Stegostoma tigrinum: one gene and its partner. The protein of the gene in region 2 purifies or fractionates together with the protein of the main gene of each other region. This does not show direct contact. Links are inferred from orthologs where the notes say so. Each region holds a gene or a part of one and is shown on either strand. Other genes may lie near its edges.

Region 1 (11,003 bases), on a different chromosome or scaffold from region 2:
CAGATTACAACTTCCAAACAAAAAAAGAGTATGAAGCAGGATCAGGTGCATTCTCAGAGTTAGAGGCCAAGAATTGAATATTGAGTAAGGTAATCTATTCACATTTATGGGCTAAATGTATAAAATGTGTGACTTGTTAAATAATGCAAATGTTGTCAAACTTTGATAAATCTGGAAAGTCAGATAATTATGCCATAGTGGAATATACTTGAAATTCTACCCGCTTCAGATAAGGTTATGCTAATGACCTGACATCACTAAAAAGACTTGTAATTCCCTGTAAAATAGCTGGGATTAGCAATTTCATCAGCACAGATGTAATGTAAATGAAACAATTTCACTATTGAACAGATCATCCATGTAAAAGGCCAAAATGAAACTCACATATGAAAGCACGGCAAATGTTTTTGGAAAGTCAACTGATTTACAGTTTGCTCAATTCAGACACAATTGTATTCCTTTATTAGGATCTAACTTCTTGAGTCAAAATATAAAGAAGGTGTCGGTGTCAGTGAATAGGAAGTTCAAGAGAAAAGGGTTAATTAGCTTAGGACTACATCAGCAATTTTCCATCCATTTTCACAAGTTAAAAATCATTCTTAAAAAATGCAGGAGTAAGGGTGGATGAGTTTTGTATATTTGTCAAACAAATTAGCAGTAAGTGTAAAAAAAGTTTACATTAGAAGATACCACCATGAATACCATCGGCGAGAGGCTTTAATGAAGTGGTGGTATGGACTTTAAGGCATATAAGGAAAGGCATATTCATATTGCACTTTGTAGATGTAGCAATTACATTTCTTCAGTTTACAATAACAAATACTAAAAGAACAGTAATAGTGAACAATACATTGGAAATATGATTAAGGAATAGACTGGAGGCATTGGCTCAATTCCTAACTGGCAATGGATGGGTAGTGCGTGGGAGAGGAGTGGAACGAACAGTCCCTTTAGTAAAAGCAAGAATGTGTAGAAATACTCATATAGTAGTCAATTAAATGCTTCATAAAATCTAACAAGACCTTCCAAGTTGAACAGACAGTCCATGTGGAGAACTGTAAATGGTTGGGAGCTATAGTCCACGTCCAATGATTTTTGGGAGAAATCTAAAAATTCTTTCAGTGATGAGTGATCATCTTGGCTTGAGAAGGGAACACTATTAAATGCACTTTTACTGAGCATTTGAATGTCCTGCATACAGGGAGAAGGTTTCGGAGAAAATTTGGGAGTTCCATGGCATTGCATATTGTCATCTAAAAAAAAATTTTAATCCAGGGTCTATTACAAAATAGAAGGGCAGAATGAGATGGAAAGGAATGTCAACAGTATAGGCGATGATGCAAAAACAGCACAGCAAACAAACTAAGATAACAAAGTGTAGAGCTGGATGAACACAGCAGGCCAAGCAGCATCTCAGGAGCACAAAAGCTGACGTTTCGGGCCTAGATCCTTCATCAGAGTTTGGTTAACCGGCAGTGAATACACACATACAGAATCTGAACAAGTCATGGAAAATAATGAGGTATCATGCACTTTGCAGATACATACACAGAATAATTATGCAGATCAGATAATGGCAGAAGATGGGCTAACTAAACAGGGACAAAATGGAGACAGAGATGCAGGGCAAGGCTGTTTGCCCCAATGAACAATGATCAAATGTTGGCCCTAAGATACTATATGTATCTTTGAAATATAAAGATGCCATCACTGTAGGGATAGCAGGGAAGACCACTGACAAATATAAACATTGCTTAAAATGTGCAAGATGAGGAACATATGGCAAGATGCACAACTAGCAAAATGAACAGCTGCAGTACATATTCCAGAAGTGGACTGGGAAGTGAACACAGCCCAAGGAAAAGGTAGCAAATTTGCAAAAGGAATCTTGAACATAGGGGGTGAAGATCAAGGAGTAGTCAAGAATATGACTGGACAGCAAGTACAAAACAGGAATTGCTGGAAAAACTCAACAGGTCTGGCTGCATCTACAGAGAGAAAGCAGAACTAACATTTTGATTCTTGTGACCTTTTTTCTACTTCCTTTCTATACAAACTGCTAGACATGTAGTTCCTCCAGCGATTTCTGATTTTGTTTCTAATTTCCAGCCTTTGTGGTTCTCTGGCTTTTTGTTTAGTGTTTAACTTAGTGATACATCTCTTCCTGGTGTGCCCACCTTGAAATTCTGCTCCTCTCTCCCGCAAGATTTCCATGCTAATCTGTTTCCAAAATCATCGTCATTTATTTTATTGTTTCTCCTGGCGTTTGACAAGGTATTTGCCAAAACTCTCTTCCACAGACACGTCACATTCCTCAGTGACTGCTTCAGGCTTAGAATCACCACACGTGGATTCCAACTCAATTTTCATCCTTCGTGCTTTGAATCCAACCAGGATCACAGGCATCTCCATGATGTACTGTGTTCTTCGGGAAGTTGGTATCGCCACATCCTGAGATCCACACTGATCCATCACCATATGCACAATCTTGAACTCAATCTCCCAACAGCGTCGCCTCACACTGGCTTAGAGCTGTCTTGCGCTCCACACACCACCCCCCCCCACCCCCACCCCCCACTGCCAGTTCCACTTCATCCTCTGACTTATTTGATGTTCTAACAAGGAACTTTATTCTTTTCGTTTTCCTGTCAGGCATTAAGGAACACAAGATGCGACAACCTAAAGATACTCAAGCCCATTCAGAATCTTCCAGCCCCCCTTTCCCTCTCACTCCATCCCCTCTCCTAACCCCACTTCCTATTGCATATTTACTATCCCTTCTGACCTTCGGCTGTCTGATGCTGAATGTTCTGAACTCAGTTTTCTGCCTCTGCTTCCCCACCTTAATGAATTTCGGGCATGACAAGGCATTGAACACTTTTTCTGTTGCCTTCGCTTCTGTGCCTATTTCACTGGACCAAGGGTCCTTTGCCCATCACACAAACCCTTTCACTTACCTCCAACATTGTCCCTCCTACTGGAACTCTTCCTTCTACGCTTTTATTTGCACTTGAGCTGTTCATCAAGAACTGCTGATGTGACATTGGTCACCTCAATTTCTCTGCTGCCCCCTGACCCATTCCAACTTATCTCCCTCTGAACTGACTGCCAGACAACCAGCCTTATCATACAAATGGATAAGCTCCCTGACGTGACATAAGCCAAAGTCAGCCTCAGGGTTCCAGAGAGAAGCGTGGTATTCCGGATGTTGGAGTGAATTCTCTGGCTGCAAAAGAACTCTTAAGGATCTTCTTAGCTCTTTTCATAACGTACTCATGGAAATGTAAGTTAATCAATGCAAAAGGTGTAATTTTGCAAGCTAAAAAGTTTCAAAAGCAATAATTTTTAGAACAACCTAAAGAAGCAGGGTGTAGGAAAGGGAAAATACAGAAACTAATTTAACATTTTTAAGTTGAATGATTCAGCAAAGGTATGTTATTTCAATTCTGAACCCCAAATTTTTACTCTGATTTCTCTCTGCAGATGCTGCCAGGACTGCTGAGAGTTTCCACAATTTTTGTTTTTATGTTTCTGATTTCCAGCATCTGCAGTTTTCCTAGTTTTTTAATGGTATTTCATAGTTAGATCATGTCATCAAAAGTATCATTCAGCTTCATGTAAACCCAGAAATGTTCTACGGGTATTGCCAAGAGAAACTGGCAAGCGTCGTTGTGATGTACACTGATGATTTTCATGAGTTACATGAGCAATATGTGCAGGATAAAATAAAAAGGGAATTTAAGATTTGGAGTCAGACTTCAGGGATCTTCAAATATGTTGGGCAAAATATTAAGCAGAAAAAAATCAGGAGTGACTTTAGATCAACAGCCTTACTTAGAAAGTACTAATCAAATCCTGATAAATTGGGACAGTTCTCATAGAACAGACTTCAGGCTTGAAGTAGATAAACTACCAATGCACCAAAAGCCCCTTTTCATGGATTGTCTGATGTCTTCAAAAGTTTTAGATTAGGAGAGTAATCTGTAAACATAGCAAGTAGTGAAGTAAGCAATTTGGGTTAATTTATTAATTAATTTAGTGGATAGATATGAAGTGGAAGCAATAGGGCTTTTCTGGTGCACAGGTATTGTCTATAGCTCTGGGCTGGAGTTTCCAGTTCCATCTGCTCCAGATACGTATCATCGTATGTACGAATGGGTTAATGAAAAATGTGTACAGTGCGGAAGTAGGTGGGAAGTGTGTGCTGTAATATGAGTAGTTAATAAAATCTATCTACAATGAGAGACTTACAATGTAATGGTAGTTACCCTACGTCTGGGCAAGAAGGTCCAGGTTCAAGTCCCATTTCAGGATGTAATGAAAAAGGTCACAACACATGTAAAATATTTACAGAGACATGATTTGGACTAATAATGAAATGCAATTGCATCAAAATAAGTTAGTCATCACTCAATAGCAAGATTCTGAAGTCAAAGTTTAAAGTTTAAGGGGTAAATCAATCATTCTTTTCTCGAAATCGAGGTTCTCACTTTTTCATTCTCACTACGCTTTCTGGCCATTAGCTGCACCACTCCAGGGAAGGGGTAATTCCATGACTGTTTCATTTTTCATACAGCCAATGAGCTTTGAAAACAACTTTAAAATATTGGGAAAATTAGGAAAACAGGAAATCAAAAATAACTTCATAACAAGTTATTCAACAACAAAAATTTGGCTGCAAGAAGATGCACCTGAAATTTGAACGAAACTACTTCTGAAAGTTTTATGTAGAACAAGCTTGGAAGACCACAGATGTGTCAAAAGTTAAAGAATAAATGTCATGCACCTTGTACATTCTAGATTGCACAGCCCAATGTGATATTATTCACATACCTGCACGTTTGAAGGTTCTTGTTTAACTTCAGGGCCAGCCTGTTCACACAGCTGAGGAAAAACATTAGTGGCGCATTACTTCAATCATTTTGCACAGCAGCTATAAACTTAACTTCTGTGTAGCAAACTATGTTTTACAGATGTGTATTATATCCATTCATAACCATTTATTGTGAGTTTGTGCTTTTGTGTTTTGAGTTAGTAACCAGTAGGTTTTCTGTGTGTCTGAAGTTAATCATTAACTTGCAAGTATTTCAGTAGCCAAGGTAATTTCTCATAAACAGATTTCGGGCCTGGCTTGAGAGCAATTGGGTTTTTGCGCACCACAAATGGATTTTGTACTTATTCATTTTAGATTGGTTTATACACAGCAAGGTAAATAATAGGGTCTCAAGTTTTATTACTGACTTCTGGAACTTGTTTCTTTTAATGTTTAGTCGAAACATCCACAGCTTTGAGAGGGAGGCTGTCATCTTCCGTTTTCCTTTGAGTTGGGCAGTCCTAAGAAGCCCTTGGCCAGCGATGGCTGTATAGACTTAGTGAACCAAGGAAGAGGAAATATGATGTACTAAATTACCTTAGAGTGAAGAATATTAATCCCAGGCTGGAAGGGATGATATAAAACCCTAAAGGCATTATTTAAAACTGTTTCTACTTAAACACAGATTAAGGGGTTTGGTGGAGCAGGGAGTTGAGGTGAGGAAGGAGTTATTGGTCTCCCAGTATTTGAAAGGATTGAGAGAGAGAGAGAGATGCTGTTAAGTTGTATTTTAGTATTCAACAGCATTTTAGGACCTTGAAGAGTGGGCAGATATCATGGGAAGCCAATAAAAATACGTAGAGGTGTTTTAAGACATGATACTATTTGCGGTTTCAGGTACAGCAGGGTCTGTGGAGTGTTTGAGTACTACATATTAATTATAACCACTTGGACTGAACTCATGACATACCATTTTTCCCTTGTGATCATACTATGGGGAGGGAAACGACAGAAAATACTATCAGAGATAATGGGAACTGCAGATGCTGGAGATTCCAAGATAATAAAATGTGAGGCTGGATGAACACAGCAGGCCAAGCAGCATCTCAGGAGCACAAAATACTAGTCAGTTCTGTGGTGTTCATTAAAGTCACTTTTTGCAGCCAACTTTTTCCTTGCATGTACTGCAAAGGGAATAAAGATGGTAGCACTGTAGACCTTGAATGCAATTAACAAGTTTTAACTGTCACATTATTAAGGAAATAATTTATAAGTCTCAGTTGAGATATGCTATGCAGCTCATCAAAATGTCCCTCTAGCAGGCTTATTCTGCCTTCACACCACAGCATGTGAGCAACGTGAACATGACCAATATTTTTGTTTTTGCTAACTCGTTTGGTCTAAGTATATGTCCATTATAAAAGGTTAATCACTGCACTTCAAAATTAGGTCTTGCTTTCCCGGAGAGGTGACAAGGTGCTGTGTATTTGCTACCGTTTTGAGTAAGTTTCTCCTGACGTGATCTAGTTCCGCTGTAATATCTTGTTTTATTTGGTGTAATTCCAGTTATTTATGTTTCTGCACCAACTCAATTTACATATGTCAAGCTCTCTCAGCAGCCTTTTTAAGCATTCCCACACTAAAACGGGGGGGGGGGTTCGAAGTCACTGTTGCAAACCACATTCGCTTTCGGTATTCTTTTTTTAAAAATCGTGTTTATTTTCGCCCTCAGTTGAACCAGTGTCCCTCAGTGCACATTGATACACGCAAGTGGCCAGCGCTGACGTACAGAAAGGAGAGCAAAGGCCTGGACTTCCCAGGCTTTATCCTCCTGTACAGCTTACCCTGACTGGCCAGCGCGCAGCACGCAAACTGAGGCCCGAATACGGACTGAGGCTAAAATATTTATTTATATAATATTCTTTTTTAAAAATAAAAAGCACTTCTCCCCGTGCTTCCGGCAGGACAATAAACAGTCACAGTGCAGTCTCGGCACCCTTGTGTGTTACGTGTGTGTGTGTTTGTTTGTTTTATTAAACAGGAGCCCGCAGCACTTGAACAACTGATTGGCAACAGCGTCCCTCAGGGTGAACGGCGGTGTTTTCCCGCCACCGAACGTTGCTACTCCCCCGGCGTTCCATCGCCAATGGATACAAAGTTGGAAACAATGAGCCGGTACTTTGTTACACACTCACCCCAAGCGTGTCCCCCTGGCCAGAGGTACTGGCCGCCTCCTCCTCCTCCTCCTCACTCATCCTGCCGACACACTCTCTCTCTGCTGTCTGCGTTACAAACAACAACAAACCAAAGCAACCCGGTTTAGGCGTTCGCTTGCACTCAGATTCTCCTCATCGCATTGTTATTGCACTGCTATTGAGAAAGCCAAATGAAAACCTACACCCCCCGCCCGTTCTGTCATTTTCTACAAACATCGCGAGACTTCTCACCATTCCGCCAATCGTTCGGCAGATTCTTGTGCCAGTCTGTGATATAGTTCGAATGGGAATAAGTCTTGCCACTCCTTATTTCACACATGTGCACACCATCAGCTACCAAACACAACCTTCCTCTTTTCCTACGAAGATCAGGGGATAGGCTACTCATTTTACATCGTGAAGTTGGACTAATTGCATCCTAGAGAATGTTCAGTCTCCTAGCTGGTGCATGACTGCAACTCGACCTCTCGGGCAGGATTTGATAATTGGTGCATAGATTAGGAGACTTTTTTTTACGTCTTTGGCTGTACTCCTGATGTGGTAATGAAACAAACCTGGGAGAATGCCTCGGTGCAAGCAACGACATTATTCTCATGATTTTCTGGTATAAAGCCAGTTAACACAGGCTGTATAGATTTCCATAGTCACTATACACCGGCAATCTCGAAACTACGATATAAAGGAGACTTCTTTTTGTTTTGAACGGAATATCTGTGTTTTTATTAGTCGTGCCCTTCTGCAGCAAGTGAACAACATGGTCCACAGTAGTACACTAAGTTTTAAAAAATGCCAAAGCCCACATATTTTGATAATGCTTCCCCAATTGCAAAAGCAATTGTCACAACATTGTTACTTGTCATTAAGCTGATAACTAATCGGCCTTTTGACGAGGGGTGTGGGTAAATTAAAATTCCGATATTATTTATTTGAAGAATCGGATACTCAAACAGATTGGGCTAACTTTTGATGTTACTGGAACTAATATACTAAACCATTCTCGCACAATCTGATGACAGGAAGAAACTCAAACACAATCTCTTAAATAGAAATCATGTATTCATCATAATAACAATGCAAAAATATTGGAGATTTTTCCTTATATGTGCATCAACTATAGACCCCCAAAAGAAGTTGCATGTGCAGTTGGAGAGATTTATGACCAACATTTACGTGCAGTATAATTAATATTTGAATCTTAAAGCTAAAAGATTGTAATTCAAGAACCAATCCATAAGGGTACCAACCTGCTTTGGGGTTTCAACTCACTTGAGAGAAGCTTTGAATTCAACAATTTAAATTATCCTGCCTGGATATATTGAAAATAAATGAATTTACATTGGCACCAAATATTGTGGGTCTGATGATATGGATGTTTATGATATCATCAAAATCCACAAGTTATCCACTGCTTTGTAACTGCTTGCTAGGCTTATGGCAGGCTGAGTCCTGCAGTGATAAATGAGTTAGCTTTACACCCACTTAGTACTGATGCAATCAGTATCATTAACTATTACATGAGTTCTACAACACTACTCGGTATATTGTTTTACTCCACAAGTATTTTTGAACATACACTTTGATTATTTTTTCATATTAGTAGTTAATGGGAGATTTTTAGCTCCCTCAAAGGCTCTTTTCTAGTCCTTGCTATTCTACATTGTTTTTATGATTTAAGGTGAAAGTAACAGTGCTAGAAAATTACTTGATTTTAAAAAACGTATTTACTAAGAAATACTGTCGCTGTTTTTTGACAAATGTCAGATTTTAAATTGAAAAACCAGTGACCAAGATATACAGACATAAATTATGATCAGTAGGCTATTCAGCCACTCAGGCCTGCTCACTATTTAATGTAATCATGGCTTATCTGATTGTGGATTCAGTTCTCCTTTACCGCCTACCCATCAAGGCATAGATTTTCTCCACCAATTTTTCAGAATTTATTTTTAATGGGCATGGGAAATATGTAAGTGGGACATTCTACCAGCTTTCTTCACATTGTTTTTACAGACACTTCATTTTCTACCATTTAAGGGTGATGTATAATAAGTCATTCATTGTAAGTCTATGTAATTGAATAAATATATCTGAAATATTTCAATGACAACTTGCTTTTATATACCATCTATAGCATAGACAAAAGTTCCTAAGCACTTCACAGATGTGAAAAAAAGGGCTGATGTTCCAAAGAAAGGCTGTGGCACAGTGGTTAGCACTGCTGTCTCACAGCACCAGGGATCTGGATTTGATTCTTGGGCGATAACAAAGTGTGAAGCGGGATGAACACATTAGGCCAAGCAGCATCTCAGGAGCACAAAAGCTGACGTTTCAGGCCTAGACCCTTCATCTCTGTGTTCATCCAGCTTCACACTTTGCTTTCTTGGATTCTCTAGCATCTGCAGTTCCCATTATCATTGATTCTTGGGCGATTGTCTGTGTGGAGTCTGCACATTCTCCATGTGTCTGTGTGGGTTTCCCCAGGTGCTTTGGTTTCCTCCCATAGTCCAAAGGTGTGCAGATTGCATGGATTGCCTATGCTAAGTTGCCCATAGGGTCTAGGGTGAGAAATGCAGGGAAAGGCTAGGTGGTGGACCTGCGTGGAATGCTCTTCAGAGGGTCAGTGTGGATGTGATGGGCCAAATGGCCAACTTCCACACTTTATCATTGAATTAAGCAGGCTTAAATTAATGCCTTAAAGAGAATGGATGAGGGTATGTAACATAACTGTGTGTAAAAGAAAAGTTTGTGTGATTGTAAGGGTGGAAATGTTTATTAGAATAATAAGATTTCGGTGAAATGAATTTGAAACATTCTGACATCTGGAGCCAAGGAATGCGTATGGTGAGGTTACTGAAAAAGCAGGACTTAACCTGTGATATGTACAGGTAGCAGAGCTTTGGCTCAACTGAAGTTTATGGGGGCTGGAAGCTGGCCAGGAGAATGTCAAGGTAATTGATCTCAGGTGGATGAATGGCTGGTTTTAGCAGGATATGGGCTGAGAAAGGGATAGACATACGCAATATGAAATTTAGTGGTCTTTCTGATCGGGAAGATATGAGGTTGGAACAGTTTAATTTGGTCCTAGTTAGGTTGCTATGTTAGGATAGAATTGCCGTACAAGGTTTATGGCCAGAGCCAAAAGCATGCATATTGATCTTTCCAATGTTCAGTTTCTCCATCAAGTAGTATAACATCATTGACGTAGTGGTGAGGTTGTGTGAAATGTTTGATATTTGTGTAGCAGTGGTACCCATGGCTATGGGTGATGTCACTGAGGGGCAGCTTGTACAGCAAGGATTAAAGAGGTGTCCTTGGTGTTGCCTAGAGGTGACACTTTATTGGTAATTACAAAAATCACTTCCAGGTATCCTCTGGTGACAAGTAAATGGATAAGAATGGAATCAAGAAAGTGCAGTCCCAGGGAATTGGACACCAGTGAAGTGGTGTTGGAGAATGAGTGTTCATCAAATGCATTGAAGGCTGCACAGGAATCAGTGAGGATAAGGACAGGCAATAACTCATCAGCACAGAAAAGGAGAATATAGGACAATAAAATGTGAGGCTGGATGAACACAGCAGGCCAAGCAGCATCTCAGGAGCACAAAAGCTGACGTTTCGGGCCTAGACCCATCAAAGGATGGAGGTGCGGCTTGGGGTGGGAGGAAGGGATGGGTGAGAGGAAGAACAGGTTAGGGAGGCAGATACAGGTTGGACTGGTTTTGGGATGCAGTGGGTGGAGGGGAAGAGCTGGGCAGGTTGTGTGGTGCAGTGGGGGGAGGGGACGAACTGGGCTGGTTTTGGGATGCGGTGGCGGAAGGGGAGATTTTGAAGCTGGTGAAGTCCACATTAATACCATTGGACTGCAGGGTTCCCAAGCGGAATATGAGTTGCTGTTCCTGCAACCTTCGGGTGGCATCATTGTGGCAGTGCAGGAGGCCCATGATGGACATGTCATCTAAAGAATGGGAGGGAGT
Region 2 (11,003 bases):
GTCCTGTTTATACAAATCTGTTATAAGAATATGGGAAACAGGAGCAGGAGTTGGCCATATGGCCTTTCAAGTCTGCTCTGTCAATGAATTGTTGAACTTCTACCTGACTTCATTTCCTTTCTTATCCGCTACATATTTACCCCAATTGTGATACATAATAGTTTTGCTAAAACAAAATTATTGTGGTAACCAAGTGCCCAATTTTAATGATGAAACAAATGGATAAAGACATCATAATTCGTATCATATCATATCATGATCCATATCTGAAGAAGGGTGCCAACCCGAAACGTCAAACTTTCCTGCTCCTCTGATGCTGCTTGGCCTGCTGTGTTCATCCAGCTTCACACTGTGTTATCTCAGATTCTCCAGCATCAGCAGTTCCTACTATCTCTGTAATGATTCATATCATAGTTGAAGACAATATATTGCGAAATGCAGGTCTCCTTAATTTATAGGGGTAAAGTAAATTGCATACTATACTTTGTATTTTTTATTAAATCCACAGATCATACGTTGTCATGTTGGGTTTATAAAGTAGGAGACTGGGCTATCTCAGAGTCTATCCATTTGCCTTCTTAATTACAGAAAGGTGATTTTTCTTCTTTGTTAATTCTATTGCATGCTTACTTACGTGGGGGTGTGACAAGAGTTGGTAGCAACGAACGGTGATAGTTGATCGTTAGGCACTAATAGGTCCAGTAAACTTCCAGTTCAGGGGTCGTAGGAACTGCCGATGCTGGAGAATCTGAGACAACAATGTGTAGAGCTGGATGTAGAGCTGCTGTGTTCATCCAGCTCTACACCTTATTGTCTCCAACTTCCAGTTTAATTCGTTACTGCCTTATTACGTTGACGCCTATGGTCCTTGTTTGGGAGAGTTCCAAAGATAGCGGTGACTCCAAAATACCTCTTTATACGTGTGAGTCTAAACAGAGTATCAGCGAACTATATACTCACAGACAGATGAGGCTGAACTTGACATTCATATTTGCAGGCAGCTGTGAGACTTTGATCAGGATCTTAACGTCTTTACTTCAAAAAAGTAAGATTTTGGGTTGAAGCAAAAATATAAAATGCTGGAAATATTCAGCAATTGAGCCTGTAAGCGAGAAGAGACTAGCAGAATTAATATTTAATGTTGATAACCTTTTGTCCACTCGTAGCTCAGCTAGCTCCTTGAAGGCTCCGCGGATTTCTAGCTGGGGAGGGAAGGGATCAGAAGGAAGCCTGTTCTCTAAAGGGTTGCAAGATAAGGACTGAATTGTGCCGAGCGATGAAAACAAAAGAACAGGGGAGAACTCTGCGCTGAAGCGCTTTGGCTTTGCGGAATTTCTTGCTTTGTTTGTTTCACTGTAAGGGTCTCTTTCATTGGTTGTCATTGGAAGACTGGGTGTTATGAGAGTGCTAATTGGCCATGGTTTGCTGCCGCCAAGCTCCAATTGCCCCGTGTCCCTCTCCCCCAAATCTATTGACTGTCACCCACTTGGTGGGGGGTTAAACCTGGGCTCCGTCAGGGTGCATTTCACTTCGGGCTCAAATTTTGCAACCGTTCGGCGGAAATGCTGCGCTTTCCTGCCCTGTCCTATCCGGCTGGAGATTAAAAAGAGCAACCAATCGTGAAAAGCAAACATTCTCTCGCGTTTGTTGCGGAAAGCACAAGTTTCCGTTCGTTTTGCACGGAGGGATTTGATGCAAAGTTTTTCCTTTCACCTCACAATCGTTGTTCCATAATCCAGCCCCGCGCGTTATTTGCAAATACAAAATCTCAAACATTCAGAAAAAATTTACAACGTTATTGCATTGCGCGAAAAACAATTTTCTTTTGCATTTTACTCGTTCATACGTAATATAAGCAACAGCGTTGTCATGATCATAGAGTCTACAGCACAGAACAAGGCTATTCGACACATCTTGTCTGTTTTCGTCAAAAAGAAACACCTAACTATTCTAATAGATTTTTTCAGCTCATGCCTTGCCATCGCAGATGCACATCTAAAGCTTTCTTAAATGTTAAGAGTTTCTGCCTCTGCCACACTGATGGGCATTGAGCTCTACATTCCCTCAGTTCTCTGTGTGAAAAAGATTTTCCTCACATCTCTAACTCTTCGACTCCTTAGCTCAGATCTATGCCCCTTGTTCATTGATCCCTTCATTGAGGGGAGAGGTCTCTTCCTGAATACTCTTATGTCCCTCATAATGTTATAATTCTCAGTCAGGTCTCCTCATTCTCCTTGTTTATGTTTTATTGAATCTTGTTAGGTATATTGATATACATATATATGACTGTATTTTGGGTATTTACAAGGCTTTGTTAAATACACAACTTTACCATTTTTATTTTGCATTTAAATCGTTTGTGTTAAATGGTATAAGACTACATTGTTTTTACTTGCATTTTGCAAGGCTTTGTTAAACATTAGATTTCACAAATTTTTGCACATATATATAAATTTGCAGGTATCCATTTGTAAAACTTCTTTGTAAGTTCATTTCACTAGTTAAATATAAAACATTGCATTAATAAAAAGCAGAAAATGCTGAATATATTCAGCAGGTTTGGCAGCATCTGTGGAGAGTAAATCTGAGTTAATATTCAAGTTGAATCTAACTACCAGAATCCACAGTATTTTGCTTTTATAATAGGTTTTCTTCCTTCACTTCTCACAAATCTGTTAGATATATAGCACATAAGCACTGCAGTATTTTTCTTTTGCTTAAAAGTCCCTTACCGATATAAAACATTATTGTTCTATTTTATGAGCTTTTATGAAATTTTTATGAAATTGCTGGAAAAGCTCAGCAGGCCTGGCAGCATCTGTGGAGAGAAATCAAAATGCAAGTTTTCAGTCGACTCGTCTGAGTTTTTCCAGCAATTCCAGCAACAGGTCAGACGAGTCGACTGAAAACTTGAATTTTGATTTCTCTCTGCAGATGCTGCCAGGCCTGCTGAGCTTTTCCAGCAAATTCCATTTTAGTTTCTGATTTACAGCATCTTAAGTTTTTTTCCCTTTTTTACTTAGTTTATATATATTTTTCTTTCAACTTTTACAAATTGATGTTAGATCAATTGTTGGATTTGTTTTTATGAGTTTTTGCTTATGTATGTTTTCTTTTACATTCTATAAGTTTGTTATATATACGAACAGAAGTAGGTATCTAAATGTTCCACCACTCATTTACAGGTTGTGGTTGATCATTTAACTCCACAACCTTTTACTCCATGGTACAGTTTGGAGTCAAAATCCACAAAAGACCATAGCCATATCTATGCAATGGGGAGAATTAGCTTGGGGGTAACCACCAGAAAGTGCAGAATGAGAAACCAAGTCTCCATGATCTCCATCCAGTGTTGGGATTGAACCTCTACTGGTTTATTCTGCACCACATTTTAATGTACAAAATGTTGCATTTCTATCTTGTTTTACGTCTTGCTGGTAGATTTTTCTTTCATAATTTACAACTGTGTAAGATTTGCAATGTATAAAACATTGCAGTTTTTCTTCTGTTGCATTTTCCCACTGTTTGCTTATATTTAGTATCGCATTCAACAAATTTCTGTTAGATACATCACAACAGAAGCATTGCACTTTTTTGTGTGATGAGCCGTTGTGTTTTTTTTGCTTATAAATATATATAGGCTTTGGCATTTTACAAATTGATGTTCGCAGTAAAAAAAATTGCTGGCTGTGTTTTGATAGCTTGGGTGTGGGATTGTGACAGGGCCGGAGTTCCGGGGTTGCTGCTCATGCCAGGTCCCGGGAGGCGGCGCGCGCGAGGTGCTGGTGGCGGTGAAAGAAGGGGGGGGGATCACGTGACCAGTTGACTGGTTGACAAAAATGGCGGCGATCCCCGAATACAACATGGATGCCGGAAGGTTGGAGTGAAGCAGGGGGCGACGGACGAGAAGGAGGAGGAGGGGGAACAGAGAGAGGGGGTAAAAAAGGGAAAACAAAATAACAATAAACACATCGAGGCTCGGCGCCTCCCGCCCGGCATCTGCGGAAAAGGGAGGCGGGAAAGAGAGTCTCTGAAAATAATAATAATAATAAATCCAAATCTTTCTTCGCCCCTTTGGGGTGGGAGGGTTGAGGTGGTTTTGAGGGGAAGGTGAAGGAGGCAAAGGGGGGGTTAAAATAAAGTGAGGCGGAGCTGGAGGGGGTGGGGGGGGGTCACCATGAGAGGAAGGCGAGGTAGGCCGCCCAAGACGCTCGATGCTTCGCCGGCGGGAGGTGGCGGGGGACCGGCCGGCAGCCTGAGGTACCGGGCTACCGGGGTCGGCAGAGGCAGAGGGGCAGACCGGAGGCTGAATCACGCCGAAGCTGGCGGTAGAGGGAGCCGGACCTCGAGAGGCGGCAAGGCGGGGAACCGGGGCAGGGCCAAGGCCGCGGCTCAGCAGCAACGGCAGGGCAGCCGCTCCCGCAGGCTGACCGTCAACAAAGTCATCTACGACGACCACGAGAGTGAGGAGGAAGATGAGAGTCTGGTGTCCGAGGAAGAAGACGACGACGACGAGGACGAGCGGGAGAACGACGACGAGGACGAGCAAGATTCGGATTATCACCAGGCCACCGAGGAGGAGGAAGAGGACGACGAGGACGACGATGCTAGTTATTGCACGGAGAGCAGCTTCAGGAGTCACAGCACTTATAGCAGTACTCCAGGTAATGTTTCCAACATCACCAGAATCCCGTCCCTTTTTATGTTGAAGAATGTATTGTTCGATGACACCTATATGACATGTTTGGTTGGACTGTTTGGAGATCCCACTTTGTCAGATAATTACATACGCAATATTCATCAAACTCTTTCTGCATCCGTGCATGCAACAGTTGCCATGAAATGAAATTTGCGAAATGCGACTTAAGTGTTAGGAAACGTAATCTGACCTAAACTGTCATTATGATCCAGAGTTGCATTAGTTTAATCGTGCGGAGTAAGTAGTTTGTTGCAGTGATGCTGAATGGTTGGGATGTGTCTAAACTGTACACAAACTGTTGCTCATCCTGCTAATGAGTTGACTGTGGGCTTGGGGAAGAACCTCTGTGACAACTCGGCAGTCCAATTGCTTTTGACATCAGGGAAACAGTTTTAAATCTGGTGCTATTTTTCAATCTTAAAATAATTCTGTTTTATTTGGTCAGTTATTCTAATATGAGAAAAACAAGAAAAGAATGAAAATGTAAAACTGGGAATTTGAAACAAAATAATTGGAAACTCCAACAATAACTCAGTCTTAGTACTAAATTATTTTGTTTTACCTGGCGAAAAACAGAAAAGTTTCAAGTCAAGATCCAATCATCAGGACAGTTTAATAGTTCTTATGAAATAAGAAAACACAGGCATTCTCTGGTTTATATTAGATTTCATAATTTTTAACAACTGTGATTTTAAAATTGTTGGAGGATTTAAAAAGTCCTGTGCTTTGGAAAATAATAGAGTATACTAAATATTTATCACTCTCTTATCAGAATTAGATGTTCACATTGTCTGTAAATTTGAAGATGAGTTTATTTTCAAATATTAAACATTATACTTATTAACAATCCTGCCAAGCTTTAATTTCCTTGCCATTTGGAAAGGTTAAACTGTCTTTGATTCTTAATCTTGTATTGTCAGTAATGTGAAAGATGAGCAAGGATGTAGGCTCTCCCTGAGAATCAAATTGACACTAGTTGTCATTTTAGCTTTTAAACTTATGACATGCCTCCATCACATTGAGAGATAGGAATTGGACCTTGATCTTCTGACCCAACCATAATTTTAGTTGATGTAGCTATGTACCACAATTCCTCATGAAAATAGTGGTTGATTAATTTTGATGTGCCCAATACCTTTAGTAGAACGCTGCATATTTAGATTATGAATATTCCTCCTGTTCTGCATGCCAGTACCTCTTTTGGGTTTTAGTTCTTGCCAGTGGTGGTCATAGCGGTTTCAATTCTTTTGACCTCCTTCCATGCTTTGTGTGCTTGCACGTGATGTACAATATTCTGGTTGTATTTAATCCCAGGCTAACTTTCCTCTCCTTCAGCAGGGCAGTTTGAAAAATTGAGCACTCTACCTCTGGAGTATTTCCTGACTGTTTATGCTGAAACCCACGTCCCTGTTGTTATCACCCCAAGAATATTTGTTTCATGTTCCCAACCCTGGCATATCTGCTTCACAGACAGTAGCCTATTAAGAACTCAACCTAGGACCTCTCCAGTAGTATTCTACATATCCGTTGCCAGTTTCCTGGAACGTGTAATTTCGGCATCCACCACATTAAAACAGTTAAGTACATTTGAGGTTAAATCTCATCTACATGGTAAGCAACCCTCTCCAGTTAAGTCTCCATTGTGGCCCATGGATCTTCAATATTTCATTACTTTGTCCATGAGCTTTCTGTCACACCTCTACCAGCCATTACTTTAATCACAATGGTCCAGATCTTTGGAACTCATTTGGAAATATTGTTACACTTTTACCTTCCTTCAAAAACCGATGTTATTTTCTCCTTCCAACCTACTCTGTCTATGTCTTTACCTCTACCACCCGTATCACAATGCACAGACTTCTTGATTCTGTGGCATCATTTGTAAAATACATAATTTTTCTGAGTGGAATTTGAAATGAAAATACAGCCATTAGGGTAATGATAATTTGCTTTATAACAAGCAAAAAGGTTGCTCTAAATTTCTTTAAAGTGCCATGCACCAAATCACTCCAAATCAAAATTTTGTTTATGTGTATTTGTGGTAAGTACTGATCAATTAATGTTGTTCCTCTTATTTTGTATCTGTTTATAGATGTTTTGACAAATATTTTGGTTCATGAAGTAGGTCGAGACTATCCCTCTAATAATGATATTTGCAAGTGAAATGTCAAACACTTAGTGAATTAAATGCTCAATGTTGCATTCTTCAGTGGACTTAAAACAGAAATGCAGTCTGAATGGGCAACCAGTTTATTAACGCATTCTTTTCTGAAAAGTCATGGAAACAGGAGTTGGCCATTCAGTTAGATTATTTCTGATCTGTGATTTGGTTCTGCGTCTTTATCATGCTATATCTGAACCACATGCTCGTAAGCTAACTGCTCATCATTTGACCTGACAATGGTGTATGCTCATAATGTCTTATAAAAATTGGATTTTAGTACAGTTGAAAGTGGAAAATATATAGTGCAGCTCAGCAGGAGGCCATTTGGCCTAATCACTCTGCTTCTTTTGGAGATTAATCTGGTTGGGTCCCCTGTTTCACTCTGTCTAATTTTCTGTCTTCTTCCCCACCCAAAACACAGTCTTTCACTATTTCTGTGCAATTTTTTTGTCTCCATGAAATCTTCGTCAATTACTGTTAGTAGGCCATTGTTTATTCTGTATCCACTACCCAGTGAGGTATCTCCAGTCTGTTCATGTAACTAATCCCTCATCCCTGAAGCTATTCTAGTAAATTGCTCTGTACCCTCTCCAAAGCTTTCATGTTCTCTCTCATGTATGGAGTCCGGATTTCTGTGTAATGCTCCAGCTGGGGCTGAGGTAGTCTTTTTCATATGTTCAACATAACCTCTTTTCTAATCTGTCTTGAATTAAAAAGAAAACAATTTCTTATGCTTTATTAACAACGTCGTTCATCTGTCTTGTAACTTTCTAAAAATTTGTACCCAATGTAATGGACTTTAGTAATGCCTTTGACAAGATCCTGCACAGCAGGCTACTCATGAAGGGTGAGGTTGCATGAAATCCAGGGAGAGCTAGCTAATTTAGTTCAACATTGGTTGAATGGTAGAAAGCAGAGAGTGATGGTTGAAGGTTGTTTCTTGGACAAGAGGGGCCTGTGACTAGTGGTGTACTACAGGTCGATGCTGGGAACTTTGTTATTTCCAAAAATGACCTTGATATGAATGTGCACGGCATGGTTAGTAAGTTTGCAGATTATACAAAATTAGGAGGCATCATTGATAGTATTGATATCAAAAATTACAGAGGGATCTTGATCAGATGGAGAAGTGGGCTGAGGATTGGTGCATGTAGTTCAATACAGATAAGTATGTGGTGTTGTACTTTGGAAGGGTAGGACTTAGACAGTAAATGGTAAGATCCTGAGGAGTGTTGTAGAATAGAGGGACCTAGGAGTACAAGTACATAGATTGTTGAAAGCAACACCATAGGTGGACAGGCTGGTGAAGAAGGCATTTAGCATGCTGGCTTTTGTCAGTTGAGGCAATGAGTATTGGAGTTGGGACATAATCTTACATTTGTGTAAGTCATTGGTGAGGCTGCACTTGGATACTGTGTATAGTTTTGGTTACCCTGTTATAGGAAAGACATAATTTACCTGGTCAGTGTGCAATGAAGATTTATGAGGATGTTGCCAGGACTAGTAGGCCTGAGTTATAGGGAGAGGTTCGCCAGGATAGGACTTTATTCCTTGGAATGTTGGAGAGTGAGGGGTGACCTTTATTGAGGTGTATAAAAGCATAAGGGGCATAGATAGGATGAATGCATATAGCCTTTTTCAGAGGAATGGGGAATTGAAAACTGGAGGGCATAAGTTTAAAGATTTAAGAATATTTAAGAAGGATCTGAGGGGTAGCTTCTTCATGCAGAGAGTGGTGCGTATGTGGAATGGACTGTCAGAGAAAGTGGTTGAGGCAGGTATAATAGCAACATCTAAAAAAAATCTGGATAGGTATATGGATGGGCAGGGTTTAGAGGGATATGGACCAAATGCGGGCAATTAGAGCTAGCTGATCGGGCACCATGGTCAGCATTGAGCGGTTTGGGCCCAAGGGCCTGTTTTCATGCTGTAATGCTGTATAACTGAATGACACTAGTGCTTTCACTGTAAGTAGTAGTTGCGTTTCAACAACTCAGGACATTGTAGGGGTCTTTAGTAGTGTATCCACAAGTGTCAATACATTCTATCATCTCGTTTCGGTTTGGTTGCACTGCACTTGAGTCACACTTCAATGATTCAATTTAAAATAGCATCCCACGATCAGTTAAGCAAAGTATTTAACAATATTGGATCTGGATTTTCAGCCTTCCCTCAAAAAACACTTTCACATATTTCTTCAGCTAACTCCTCCTTCTCATAGCATGCTGCTTTTAAGTTCATAGCTATTAATTCAACTAAATGTTATGTTCTCACTGAGCAATTTTCCAAATGTTTAGCAGATCTATGGTGTAAATAATCTTAAATTCCTATTGCATAATTATTGTATGTTATACACATGCAAGTTTTTTTTTGAAGTAATGCAAGATGTGAGCTATTGACTAGTATGTTTCTGTGCAGTAACTTGTGTTTTCAGCTGTAAACACTGACATCGTGAGAAGTGAGAAGCAAGACCAACAGAATCTGCCCTTCTCTGCCTCACTGGGGACAGATGTTTCGTATTGACATGTTCATGCAATAATGACAAGAATGAAAAATCTTCTCCGAGATTGTAGGAACTGTAGATGCTGGAGAATCTGAAATGACAAGGTATAGAGCTGGATGAACACAGCAGGCCAAGTGGCATCATAGGAGCAGGAAAGTTGACATTTCAGGCCTAGACCCCTGAAGAAGGGTCTAGGCCCGAAACATCAGCTTTCCTGCTCCTGTCATGCTGCTTGGCCTGCTGTGTTCATCCAGCTCTACACCTTGTTATCTCAGAATGAAAAATCTGACAGGAAAATGTTGAAATCGGTTGAGGGGGGAGTAAGACAGTGGTACTTGCCAATCAACATGTATACTGATTTAACTTTGAATCAGTTATTGTAACAAAATCCTGGGAGTGCAAATATGATTAGATGACCTAAAATGTATTCTTTGCCGGATAAGGAACGCATTTATGGATTGGCTAGTGCTATGTGACACACTGAGATAACAAAAAGTCTGTTTTTAAAAAGCGGTGTATTTTTAAAGAAAGTCATTCACTTTGTCAAATTTAAATCTTTGTTTTCCTAAGATTTTGCTTTTGGGTCAATTTACAGTGAACTTGTCCTGATTTTCACAGTTACCAATCAGGCAGTATAATTACATGAAAGAAATGACCTTTTTCTTCTGCCAACCCAGATCACTATCTTCGTATTTTGCTCTATTTCATTTTTACTTAATATTCTTCTTTCTAGCCAATGGCCCATTGGTTTAGCCACTGCAATTCCGAGTGGAAATTTTGTCTTCAGAAACCGAATCTTAGACCATTGCTTAATGAAGCTAATGAACCTCGTATGAGTACACATCTGCTGCAATGATAGTCTAATTCTGAAAATTGAAAGACAATGGGAAGTTTGAAACTATTCATAAGTAAATGTTTACAAATGCAAAGAAAGATTAATTTAATGGTGTGTGGAAGCTATTTTAATTACACGTGTTAGCTGACCTTGCACTGAAAAGATATGTCTTTGTCAGGACTTGTATCATTGGTATGAGTTTGTAGTGGCCTGTAGTATTCCTATATTCTGCTGTCTGATTGGAGTTAATTTTTAGTTTTCTATCACCATACTTCTGAGTTGTTTTTTCTGTAGATCTGATATTTTATTCACTTTTTATTTAGATATTGAGATGGGACAATTTTGACCAGAATTGAAATTGGATGAGTTATATTGTTGATAGCACTAACAAGATTCATGGATGCGTAATAAAATAACTGAACAGTTAATTTGTTGTGGTTGTGATATTTGAGAAATAGTTGGCAAGGGCACAGAGAGAACTCCCTACATTTGGAATTGTCCCAAAGAATCTTTTACATGCACTTGAACAGATAGCTGGTGCTTAAACATAACATCGCCTGTGAAATATGTCACCCTTAACACCAAAGTCATTTTTAATGTTACTCTGAAGGATCTGTCCTCATGATGTACTCAGTTCTGTTCTCGTGCTTCCAGCACCTGTGCCTTATGAGGGAGCAACATATCTTGTCAGTTAGTCATTTTCACGTTTCCGAATTACACCATCTGTAAATTCATATAACTGATTGTGACATTTTTCTCAGTTAGCTATAAATATCACAAAATTAAAGTAGGGAACAACATC

Evidence for each region. The genes of interacting proteins can lie anywhere in the genome.
Region 1: the proteins of bptf (region 2) and smarca1 purify together in Homo sapiens (affinity purification with mass spectrometry; 4 studies listed by BioGRID and IntAct, with this or other methods). This does not show direct contact. The link is inferred for Stegostoma tigrinum from reciprocal best matches to the Homo sapiens genes BPTF and SMARCA1.

What each region holds. Positions count from the first base shown.
Region 1 is NC_081368.1:32,749,366-32,760,368, forward strand, and holds the start of smarca1 (probable global transcription activator SNF2L1), read right to left. Parts: upstream 7,250-11,003; 5' UTR 7,069-7,249; coding exon 7,009-7,068; intron 4,885-7,008; coding exon 4,834-4,884; intron 1-4,833.
Region 2 is NC_081375.1:10,335,897-10,346,899, forward strand, and holds the start of bptf (nucleosome-remodeling factor subunit BPTF), read left to right. Parts: upstream 1-4,177; coding exon 4,178-4,664; intron 4,665-11,003. UniProt on the Homo sapiens protein: Regulatory subunit of the ATP-dependent NURF-1 and NURF-5 ISWI chromatin remodeling complexes, which form ordered nucleosome arrays on chromatin and facilitate access to DNA during DNA-templated processes such as DNA replication, transcription, and repair.